3 linked regions of the Neurospora crassa OR74A genome follow. The protein of the gene in region 1 binds, or shares a complex with, the protein of each later gene. Links are inferred from orthologs where the notes say so. Each region holds a gene or a part of one and is shown on either strand. Other genes may lie near its edges.

Region 1 (3,786 bases):
CTTGGATGTGAAATCTCCAATGCTTGACTTGGAAAATGTTCCACCAACACCGATGGCTTTGCCAGATGCTTTAAGGTGACTGAGTGTCCGTATGGACCCCGGACTGTTCATGCACTCGGCCTCAACTTTATGAGTGTCTCCCCTTTCTCAAACCAGGCTATTTTCTGGTTGGTTAGTGTTAGAAGCCGTTTTGCAAACTCTATCGGGTTTAGACATACCAGCTTCGTGAGCGAATTCGCGCAAACCCGGAGGGTAATTTTTGAATAACGGGTTGGTCCTCGATTCATGAGACGGTAAAAGGCAATGAGAGTCTCACTTGCACGAGACTTGGATTCGTCTTATCGACGGGGTCTTTTGGGGGGGGGGGGGGGGGGGGGGTGCCCGCATGGAGTTTCTCCAAAAAAAAATATTGTGGGGACATATGTCTTGGCAGAGACTTTTCTGGTATCCCCCGTCCCGTCCTGTCGGCAGGCAACAGGGCTTCTGTTTTGTTGATAACAAGTCCGCTCTCCTGTGTGAGCTAACAAGATCACTCGAAAAGAACGACTGTGCTAACCGCATCTCGCCGGTAACTGTCGAGTAAAGTCACTTCTTTCGAATATATACTTTATTTTTTTTTCTTTTTTTTCACCCCCATTTTTCACGAGCCTGCATTTTGTTTGTCATGGATTCACAAACGATCACGATACTGTTCGTTGGCGATGAGAGATGCGGAAAGTCAACCTTGTTATCGTTAGTGATAATCCTGAATGATACAGCTATATACTGCATCTAATCCTACATGTGCCCACCAAGCCGAACAGAAGACAAGACAAGCCAATTCACTAACACCCATCCAGGCGAATCAGCAGAGGCCGTCACAACCTGAAAGGCAGAGATTCCATTACCCTTCTCAGGGACCTCGACCAGCCTTTCATCTTTGATATTCGCGCTCGCCGCGGGGACTATCGGCTCGAATTCTACGACACTTCCAGTCCAGAAAGCTGGAGACTTCTTCGGCCCGACCTAGTCATCCTCTGCTATGATATCAGCCAGAGGCTCAGTTTGATCAACCTCCAAAGAGTGGTAAGCGCCGGTTCTAACCAGGGTGAACCGCATCCTTCAACAAACTGATATATTGCGCAGTGGAACAAAGAGGTCCGGACAGCGGGCGTAACCGGCGACAACACCCCGGTGCTTATGCTGGGCCTCAAGCGGGATCTGCGATCTGAGAATGATCCCAACGGTACCATCTACCCGCAGGAGGCGTATCGCATGGCGCAAGAGATGAGGTTAGACAAGTACATGGAATGCTCTGCGGTGACTGGCGAGCTGCTGGAAGAGGTGTTCGACGATATATGTACAACGGCGCTGAAAACGACAACTTCCGAGGGCGGGCAAAGCGAAGGAGGATGCACAATCATGTGAGTTGTCCAAAGCTGTCGTCATGTCCACGTCTTCAAGAGTTTTCAATGGAGGGTGCTGCGTCCTCGTCGTTCTCTTCTCCCTCCGCAGCCTCTGTGGGTTCGTCAAAGCCGAGAGTCTCGGTGATGATATCGATGATCTTTTGCTGCTCGTCCTCAGTAAAGCGCTCCAACATGTCTTCAACGACCGTGCTAAGAACTGCAACATTGGTGGGCCGAAGGTTGATGATCATGAGCATCTCGCCTTTCGAGAGATCGCTCTGGAGGTTAGCCTCACGAAGCTTCTTGAAGAGCTCATACAACGCTTCCGTGCTGTACTGATGGGTCTTGTCCTGGTTTGCCAATGGGCCAGGCTTGGTTCGGAGATAGGTCAAGAGCTGCTGTAGGTTAGTTTGGGCATGTTCACATTCGTCATGATGGCAGGCTTGCTTACATCCTTGGTGAGAGTAAATTGGTTGGGAGGCACTCTCCTGTTTTTGGACCTGTTCTTTTGCTGTTGCTCCAGAATATGCTCATAGACCTCATGGTTTGAGACCAGGTTGCTTTGGCCTTCAAGGATCTTCATTGTGTCGACTTGGGTTGGCTTGTTGCCTGAGTGAGAAGCGAAGTCTTGCGCCGACTGCTTGCTGGTGACCACCTGTAGCCTAGGCGAATGCGAATGCGACTGCTTTCGGGAAAGCGTAAGCGTGTTTGGCTACTCGTTTGTTTGGTGTCAAAAATGACAACACAAGTGGTGTTCTTGGAGCAGTGTTCTAGACTTGGCGATCTGGTAATATGACGATAAAAAACAAAGGTTTGGTGGAGGAGAAGGCCTTTGAGATGGTCCGTCCGTCGCGGTGAATGGTCAGTGGCCAGTGATATGTTCCATTTTACAAGCGGTTGCACTTGCAGTTCCTGCCACATTGGACTCCCGTCCACTCGTGCCCCGCCATTGTAACGAAGTCAAGAAGTTGCGAACGGACCGCAGCAGCCGCATTCTCAGGACATTGAGCGTTCCTGTCCAATCATTTACAACGCAGTTTGCACTTTGCCCCACCTGGAGCGTCGAGCCGTCGCTGCAGCCAGATTCCTCCAATTGCACATGCCCGGAAAAAAAAAAAAAAAAATCTCGCACGCGGCACGGGTTCGGTGCGGTGACGGAGTCCCAAACACAGAGAGAGACGGGAGCCATTTGGGCAAAGTCCTGAAACAGTCATGAGTGTTTGACAACGAGGCACGTCTTCACTTCTCTGTTCGCAACCTAGTCCAAAAGTGAGGAAATCAGCGAGGCAGAGAGGACGAAGATGGGATTATGAACTTCAAGCAAGCGTGGGGAGCAATGGTACATCCATGATCAACATCACACCTAATCCAGAAAACCCGTTTTTTCCCCCAATGTCAATGGAAGGTTCCGTTCTCGTCGTTGTTGTGTGTCTGGTTTTTGACCGCGATCCCTCCGCGACAGTGCAGTAGTGCCAGCGGAGGTGAGGGACGCTCTTCCTTGTGACTTCCTTGCTTGACAACCTGGCCCAGGCCTTCATTCCACTGCTGCCACCACCGCACACGCCAACGCCAACCAGGTGAGCCTGTTTGGGTGGCACTAACACCAAGTACATACACTTACTATGTCGCTGCTTTGACGACCGACCTCGCTCCAAGCAGACCCTTGTTAATCAACTGGTTTCTCAAACTCCCACATTACTCGGAATCATCTCGCAGTGATGATCGCCTCTTTCTCCCTCGCTTTGCTCTCCCACTATCTCCTCTTTTATTTCTTCTCTAGACTCTAGACTCTATACATAACGTTTGGGTCCTCGCATCCTCTGCCTCGTCGCAACTTGTGCTGCTAAAGTCTGGCCCAGTTAGACCATCGCCCATCGACTCGGAACGGATTCTTATTCGCCTATCGCTCGGCTCTCAAATCGGTCTTGAAAAAAAAATATACCGGCGCAAATTCTTCTTCCCAGACCCGGGAGGAAACAGCCGAGCACGATCCTTCGAAGCCCAGCACGACCTGGCACTCTGAGGAGTCAGCTTGCCCATTGCCTTACGGCTAGTGGCGCTTAAGAGCCTCGCATTACCCAACGCTATCGTGGCCCTGCTTTCATTTCTTTCCGGGCTTGTCCCCTCCGGCCTTCCAGCGACCACCACCGACGCCGCCGCCGCCGTCCTCTCAGACGCCACCTCCTTCGTCTCGATCCCTCCTCCGCCCTCGTCTCTTTGCACGTGCGATCCTGACGGGTCGCCAGATCAAGACTGCAAGATGGTCCGTAACATTGTCGTCCTCGGCGGTAACTCCCACCCCGAATTGGTGGAGAGCATCTGCGGTATTCTTGGCCTGCCCGCCTGCAGCAGGATCCTGACCAAGTTCTCCTCTGGCGAAAGTCGTTGCGAAATCCAGGAT
Region 2 (2,751 bases), on another chromosome or scaffold:
CGTTGAGGCTTTCGTCCAACACAAACGACCATTTAAGAGCAGCCACTGCTCACGTCTACTTGTACTGCCCATCGCATTCACTTGACAAAGAGGCGCAAACATCTAGACACGTTCCTAGGTATCCAGCTCATTCACAGATTGGAACACTGTAACAAACACTCATTTTTTACGTCATGGCATCCGATCCCATGTCAGTAAACAGTTCAGCAAGGGAGCCACCTGCGCCTCCGGGATCAGGGGCAGACGAGCCCAAGTATGGAGGATATACACGGTTCGAACTCGAACTGGAGGTAGGCTTCATACACATTATCATCCAGCGTGCGTGGTATTAACAGAACACTCAGTTTGTTCAAGCACTTGGCAACCCGCTGTACCTGAACCATCTTGCGTCCAGGAAGCTACTCAGCAATCCTGCTTTCATCGCCTACCTCGACTATCTCCAGTACTGGAGCCGCCCACCTTACCTCAAGTATATCACCTACCCTGGGCCTACCTTGAAGAACCTGGAGTTGCTGCAGCAGGAAAAGTTCAGGCAGGACATCATCAGCCCAGACCTGGTCGAGCGTCTCAGGCTAGAGGGCATGAAGGCCGGAATCGACTGGCATCGAGAGAGTTTTCCAAGCACGGCATAAGTTGCACGGGTAGAATGATGCCAGGGATGGAAACGAGTGGGAAGTAGCCTCTGGCAGGCCAGTACCGCACAAGTTGATTCTGATGAAGAATACCTCACATGCAACTACACAAAAACAAAAGAAAAACCCAACGCCAAGCAATGCCCCCAATACCATGTATTGATGATCCGACCAGACCTGTGCTGAACATGTCTTCTTCCTCTAGTTGTTGTCTCTCCACCTGTGCCCGCAAGTCATACACTACGAGACATGTTAGCTTCTTACTTTATCCCATCAGTCTGCAATCCCCTTCTTACCTTGTAGAACGTCGTCATCGGTTCATCAGCACTACGAATTTGAACCTGGAAGAAGGCTGCCTCGTTGCCATTGCAAGTTCCGCTGTCACACTGGACCTTGCCTTTTTGTGCATTGTCCCAAGCGCCTGGACCACCAAACACGTCTTCCTTCTCCTTGCGCGGGAAGTTCTTGCGGGAGTAGATGGGCTTGTCGATGGGGTGTTCGTAAGGACAGGTTCTGCACTCGAGCCTGTTGCCACCCGTGTCCGCTCGGGAGAGGATGAGGAGGTTGGCGCAGAATGGGCAAACTGTGGTGGGCGTTTAGTTCCGGTGTCCTAGCCTTTGTGGGTGGACTTGGACTTACAGACGATAGGCATGTTTGCTATTGATGAAGGGACTGGATTTGTTTGTTGTGTGTTATCGTCCGTTATGAATAGCAAGTGAGATGAGTCGAGCGGTTGCCAAAAGTCTTGTTGACGATCCTGATGAGAAGAGGCGTCGCCGTAAGCTGGTACCTTTTGTGAAAACAGCTGGCCAAGACCGGTGTTTATGTCTACCACTTGCTGGGCTTTAAGGTAGTGATATAAGTTGTTAGAGTGTAAATAGTCAGTGTAGGGGCGATGGCCTGAAAAAAAGTGTTATAGCTCGATGCGGTCCGTTAATTCTATAAACCTTAAATGTAGCGCTTGAATTTTCATTGGTCAGATCTGCATCATCAACTGTCCCACACTTGGTCAGCGGTGCCTGGACCCAACGGCCCTTTCTGTTGTGCCTGTGCTAAGGTAGGTACGTACCTACTCACTGACATGCAGCTGGGCCTCAGCGCATGCCATCTGAATGCCAGCGTCCTGATCGGGCCCCGCAAGGAGCCGACCATTCTGTAACACCAAGGGAAGACGACACTGCCACTGCCACCTCCTAACCAGCCCGTTAGGTAGAGGTACGGAATGCTTCCATCCCGTCCTTCATACAACCACCACCACCACCACGACTGGAGATATCTCATAGAATACAGTACACTGTACCCTACAAACAGTCGTTCGCCGCCCTCTTATTACCCCGAAGATCCCTCATTGAGCGTTACGCGATCCCGATCCTTTTATAGGAATCGACCGATTACCTGATTCGACAGCCTGGCCACTTCCATACCGTACATCCACTCTCCCCCGCCGACCCATTTCCACGATTCCCGCTCGTAATTAGCAATTCCAGGCCAATCTTACCTCTCTACTTTGGACAACTCTCGCCGTCATCCCTCTTCGCTTTCACCGTCGTTTTCGCTACTTGTGCTTCTTCCTACAACCAAGAAACATCACCCGCCGTTTCCGAGACAACCACAAGTGACCTACCAGTAACCATGGCCGGAAAGGACGAAGAACACGAGGTTCGTACCACACAAGCGTCCTCTACCCCCAACTAACACCCTCTCTCTTCTATCCCCCGTTTCACCCGCCCTACGCCCTCTCGCGCAAACAGCTATACTACAGACAACCCCAGCTAACCCTTCCTTCTTTCACCCCCCAAAATACAGGGTGCCTCCATCTCCGAGCAGCTCATTGAAGCTTGCCGGCGTAACAACACTGACCTCCTCTCGGAAATTCTCGCCGACAAATCCGACGAAGAAATCTCCTCCCTCTTGAACAACACGACCACCGTGATGGGCAACCACCTCTACCACGAAGCCGCGCTCCGTGGCAACTACGAGATAATCGACATGCTCCTCGACCAACCAGGCTTTGAATGCGATCCCGTCAACCGACTCGAGGGCGACACCCCGCTGCACAGCGCAGTCCGATGGATCAACAGCGAGCCGGAAGCGCAGCGCGAGTTCGGCAACGAGCTGG
Region 3 (3,606 bases), on another chromosome or scaffold:
CATGGGAAAATAAAGACCTAACCTCTCTGAACAGGGCACTGGTGGCAAGTCCATCTACGGCGAGAAGTTCGCCGATGAGAACTTCGCCAAGAAGCACGTCCGCCCTGGTCTTCTCTCCATGGCCAACGCCGGCCCCAACACCAACGGCTCCCAGTTCTTCGTCACCACTGTCCCCACCAGCTGGCTCGATGGCCGCCACGTCGTCTTCGGCGAGGTCGCTGACGATGAGTCCATGAAGGTCGTCAAGGCCCTTGAGGCTACTGGCTCCAGCAGCGGTGCTATTCGTTACTCCAAGAAGCCCACCATTGTCGACTGCGGCGCTCTCTAAATTCCCTTGTGGACATTGTCGAGGGTTTTAGGGATTGGAGTCGCGGTACCATAATATTCATATGAATGTGCTGCTATAATATCTAGATAGCCCATCAAAATGGATTTCCTGCGCTGCACACCCACCCTTCTTCACTGCATCGTCATCACTGTCGCTTTGATGGTTGATGTGATTACGCAAACTGATGGTTGATGAGATCACGTAAACTGATGTCTTTTCCTAGACAGTTTGCAGGTCATGTGAATGTTATCGCCAACACATTGAATGCTAAACAGATTACCTCCAACGCCTAGATGAAACCAAATTACCCTTGCCTTCTTTTTTTTTACGCCGTTAATGCAGTTGTGATAGAGACCATGCAACGTCTTCTAAACGGAGACACAAACACATTCGAGTCGATCAGATCGAAATGACTTGTTCCTGTACCTCGTCACCATCCAGCCACCGTCTGAAATAGACGCAGTTGCTGGGGCTGACAGGTCCGCCTTCCTCGCACATATCATAGACAGGGCACCGCCCACAAGGCGCCTCCATAAGGCCACTTGCACTCGGCTCAACTCCCATAAATGAGGTAACAATGCCTCCTTTGGTTGGATCATGGTCGAGGCGTCGTTGATTGCACGTCCTCGGATCCTGTTTGGGGATGCGCGTCACACGGTACCCCTTGCGCCCATTGACCTTGACAGGCTCTACTAAGCCATCGTAGTATAGCACATCCACCAACTGCTGGATATCCGCCTCGCTCAACGTCGTATTATTCGTGATGCCGGCGTGGTGGATGAACTTTGCAATGTCCGACACAGTCGGGTACGACTTGTAACCGGCCGGGAGAGGCAGCAATTGCGGCTTGCCGGGCCTGGTCTTCTTGGCCGGTGCCGGTGCCGCCGTGTCGTCGTTGGAAATCTCGCCCGCGCTGCGCTTCGTCCCCTTGGAAATATCCTCCGAGTGGGGAATGGTCCCCTGAACCACGCCCTTCTTGGGATTCTTTTCACGCTGCTGTGCTCCTCCTCCTTGTGCTCCTACTCCTGGTACTCCAGCACCGCCGCCGTGGGAAGTATATGTCGATTTCTGCTTGATAAAGTCAAACACAATTTCCTGTAGCTCGTTGATGAAGGCCGTGTCGAGCTCGCCCTCAGTAAACCAGGGGCCACCTGTGGCGCGATCGGAGGGACGTAGGTTCGCCTTGATGTACATCTTCTTGTTGGGGTGCTCGACGTTCTTCATGCTGGCGATGTAGCCCTTTTGCTCGAGATACTTGATGCAATGCTTCATAAGCGAGTCGGCCATGTTGAGCTTGTTCTTGATGGTCCGGTTCCAGATGCCGTCGGCCCCGGCTTCGTCGACCATGGCGTATACCATCATTATTTCGGAGTTGGGGAGGGAGGTGTACCTTTTGGGAGGAAGGGGAGGTTAGTTGGTGTGCTCGGTTGTGTCCTAAAAAGAAAAAAGAAAGGTAGTAACGCACTTCTTTGCATCCTCCCGGCTTCGCCATCTCCACGACAGCCCCGATGCCGTGGTGTTGCCGACAAAGAGCTTCTCATCGCAGAGAATTTGGATCACCTGCATGAGCAACCCGATATTGTCTTGGGGGATGACCTGCATGTCCAACAGGTCCCGCTGCGTGAAGAGACGCTGATCGGAACCGTGGTCCCTCGCCGCCTCGTAAAGCGCATCCTTGAGGATCTGGATCTTGTCGCGGTCGGCCATCGTGTGCTGGTGGTGATTAGGAATTTCGTGTGGTGGTTCTGGTGACCGAGACGCAACAATTTGGAAGAAAAAAAGGGACTCGTGACGGGACAAAGACAATGCCCTGGCTGGTTGTGAGCGTCAATGCCCAGTCTGAAATGGGTCTGTTGATTGGATTTAGAGAAGGTGTGGCGTATGGCCAACTGCAGGTCGGTTTGCCAAACCGAGTTGCACTGGTCGATCACGAAATTTCCCAGAAGAAATGCCCCGCCTTTCTCAGCCTTGCATGAAAGAGCAGAATAAAGCGTTTTGTGATTGGTCACTCATGTTATGCCAAGACGGTGACTTCTGCTCAGAGTTCCAGGAAGTTGATTCGTCAGATGTCCTCTTCCCGATAAGTAAAGAGTCATGATCAACATGAAGTAAAACTGCGAGCATTGATGAGCCAAGTCTTGTATTTCTATATCAAATTGTCAAAGTAAATATTCCCTGACTTCTTACGCGTGACGGAATCCGAAGTGTTGCATAATCCACGGAATGCTCGATGTAAGCGTCCTCTTCAGTGGAGCACGTTCCACTTTCTGATCAGCCTTGCGGGACCACGCAGGCCATCCCAGTTTCGCAGGTCTTCTGCAACCTTATCATTTTTCTCATCCTTCAACCTTCCAACCGCCAATTTTCTTTGACAAAGCAACTCTCGCGGATCGAGTCACCACACTACATCGTGTACACGTCATCTAGCTCACCCATTGTCTCCTGCTTGATTTCCCTTTTCCCCCCACCCTAAATCTATCTGCTCATCAAATTCCTTCTGCGAAACTCAACGTGCAACCCGAAGGATATCGATGCCCACAATGGACGATAAATGCATTGACTGAAGGAACTCCTTGCCGCAGTGTATCCCATGATCCAACCACCGACAATCTGGGCTTGACTACCTCTTCATCTTCTTACAACTTTCGCTCATCACAGGATGATACGCCAGGTTGCTTGACGGTGCCTGATTCTCGCACCAAAGGGAATCAACACTGCCATACCTCCGCCCACTATGAGCGCAAATACGCCTGCCGTTGTTCCGAAAGCCTCAACATAACCCACCATCTGGACCCAGATCAAGACCGACGCCGCGAAGAAGAAGCTTACAATATGCTTTGTTCCTATTGACATCGTGCCGTGATTAGCAAGGTTACTCAACCAGGAGGGACTCATGCTGCTTCTTACCATTGACAAGCATAAGAGCATCCGAGTTTAGTGGAAGCAGACAGTCCGAGACATAGGCCATGGTGATGGTCGGCACCGCCGTCAATGCTACCGACATCATACCATATCCAAAGAACAGGCTGACCCAGCCCATTGCCTTTTCAATGCCATATCCGAACACCAAGCAGCCCGAGCCGCTGATGATCAGAGGTACGATGCAGAGCCACAGTCGATTCTCTGGTTCGTAAACGCCATTGTTGCGCCTGGTCTTCCAGTCGCAAAACTTGTCAACCGCCCAGCCGCCCAATACGCTGCCGAAGAGGTTACCAATGAGTCCTGGGATGTTGATCAAACCGTTGACCATGGGCGACCAGTTATACGGCGGTGCCTGA

The links.
Region 2: NCU01785 (region 1) and NCU00570 share a complex: the UniProt entries of both Schizosaccharomyces pombe proteins name them as parts of the RNA polymerase III (Pol III) complex. The link is inferred for Neurospora crassa OR74A from reciprocal best matches to the Schizosaccharomyces pombe genes rpc17 and rpc11.
Region 3: NCU01785 (region 1) and NCU00727 share a complex: the UniProt entries of both Schizosaccharomyces pombe proteins name them as parts of the RNA polymerase III (Pol III) complex. The link is inferred for Neurospora crassa OR74A from reciprocal best matches to the Schizosaccharomyces pombe genes rpc17 and rpc34.

What each region holds. Positions count from the first base shown.
Region 1 is NC_026502.1:2,446,629-2,450,414, reverse strand, and holds NCU01785 (hypothetical protein), read right to left. Parts: upstream 2,320-3,786; 5' UTR 1,969-2,319; coding exon 1,837-1,968; intron 1,781-1,836; coding exon 1,439-1,780; 3' UTR 1,408-1,438; coding exon of another isoform or gene 1,126-1,407; 3' UTR 1,066-1,125; coding exon of another isoform or gene 840-1,065; 3' UTR 733-839; coding exon of another isoform or gene 665-732; 3' UTR 525-664; downstream 1-524. Other genes in the region: NCU01784 (pseudouridylate synthase 3), read right to left, coding at 1-111; NCU16559 (hypothetical protein), read left to right, coding at 665-732, 840-1,065, 1,126-1,407; NCU01786 (ribose-phosphate pyrophosphokinase II), read left to right, coding at 3,646-3,786. UniProt on the Schizosaccharomyces pombe protein: DNA-dependent RNA polymerase catalyzes the transcription of DNA into RNA using the four ribonucleoside triphosphates as substrates. Specific peripheric component of RNA polymerase III which synthesizes small RNAs, such as 5S rRNA and tRNAs.
Region 2 is NC_026501.1:7,970,183-7,972,933, reverse strand, and holds NCU00570 (DNA-directed RNA polymerase III polypeptide), read right to left. Parts: upstream 1,524-2,751; 5' UTR 1,285-1,523; coding exon 1,272-1,284; intron 1,216-1,271; coding exon 929-1,215; exon of another isoform or gene 873-928; coding exon 834-872; 3' UTR 653-833; downstream 1-652. Other genes in the region: NCU00569 (SOH1 family protein), read left to right, coding at 174-290, 345-632; NCU00571 (hypothetical protein), read left to right, coding at 2,265-2,291, 2,439-2,751. UniProt on the Schizosaccharomyces pombe protein: DNA-dependent RNA polymerase catalyzes the transcription of DNA into RNA using the four ribonucleoside triphosphates as substrates. Component of RNA polymerase III which synthesizes small RNAs, such as 5S rRNA and tRNAs.
Region 3 is NC_026501.1:7,400,952-7,404,557, reverse strand, and holds NCU00727 (hypothetical protein), read right to left. Parts: upstream 2,229-3,606; 5' UTR 2,036-2,228; coding exon 1,794-2,035; intron 1,719-1,793; coding exon 728-1,718; 3' UTR 519-727; downstream 1-518. Other genes in the region: csr-1 (peptidyl-prolyl cis-trans isomerase), read left to right, coding at 35-328; NCU00728 (hypothetical protein), read right to left, coding at 3,201-3,606. UniProt on the Schizosaccharomyces pombe protein: DNA-dependent RNA polymerase catalyzes the transcription of DNA into RNA using the four ribonucleoside triphosphates as substrates. Specific peripheric component of RNA polymerase III which synthesizes small RNAs, such as 5S rRNA and tRNAs.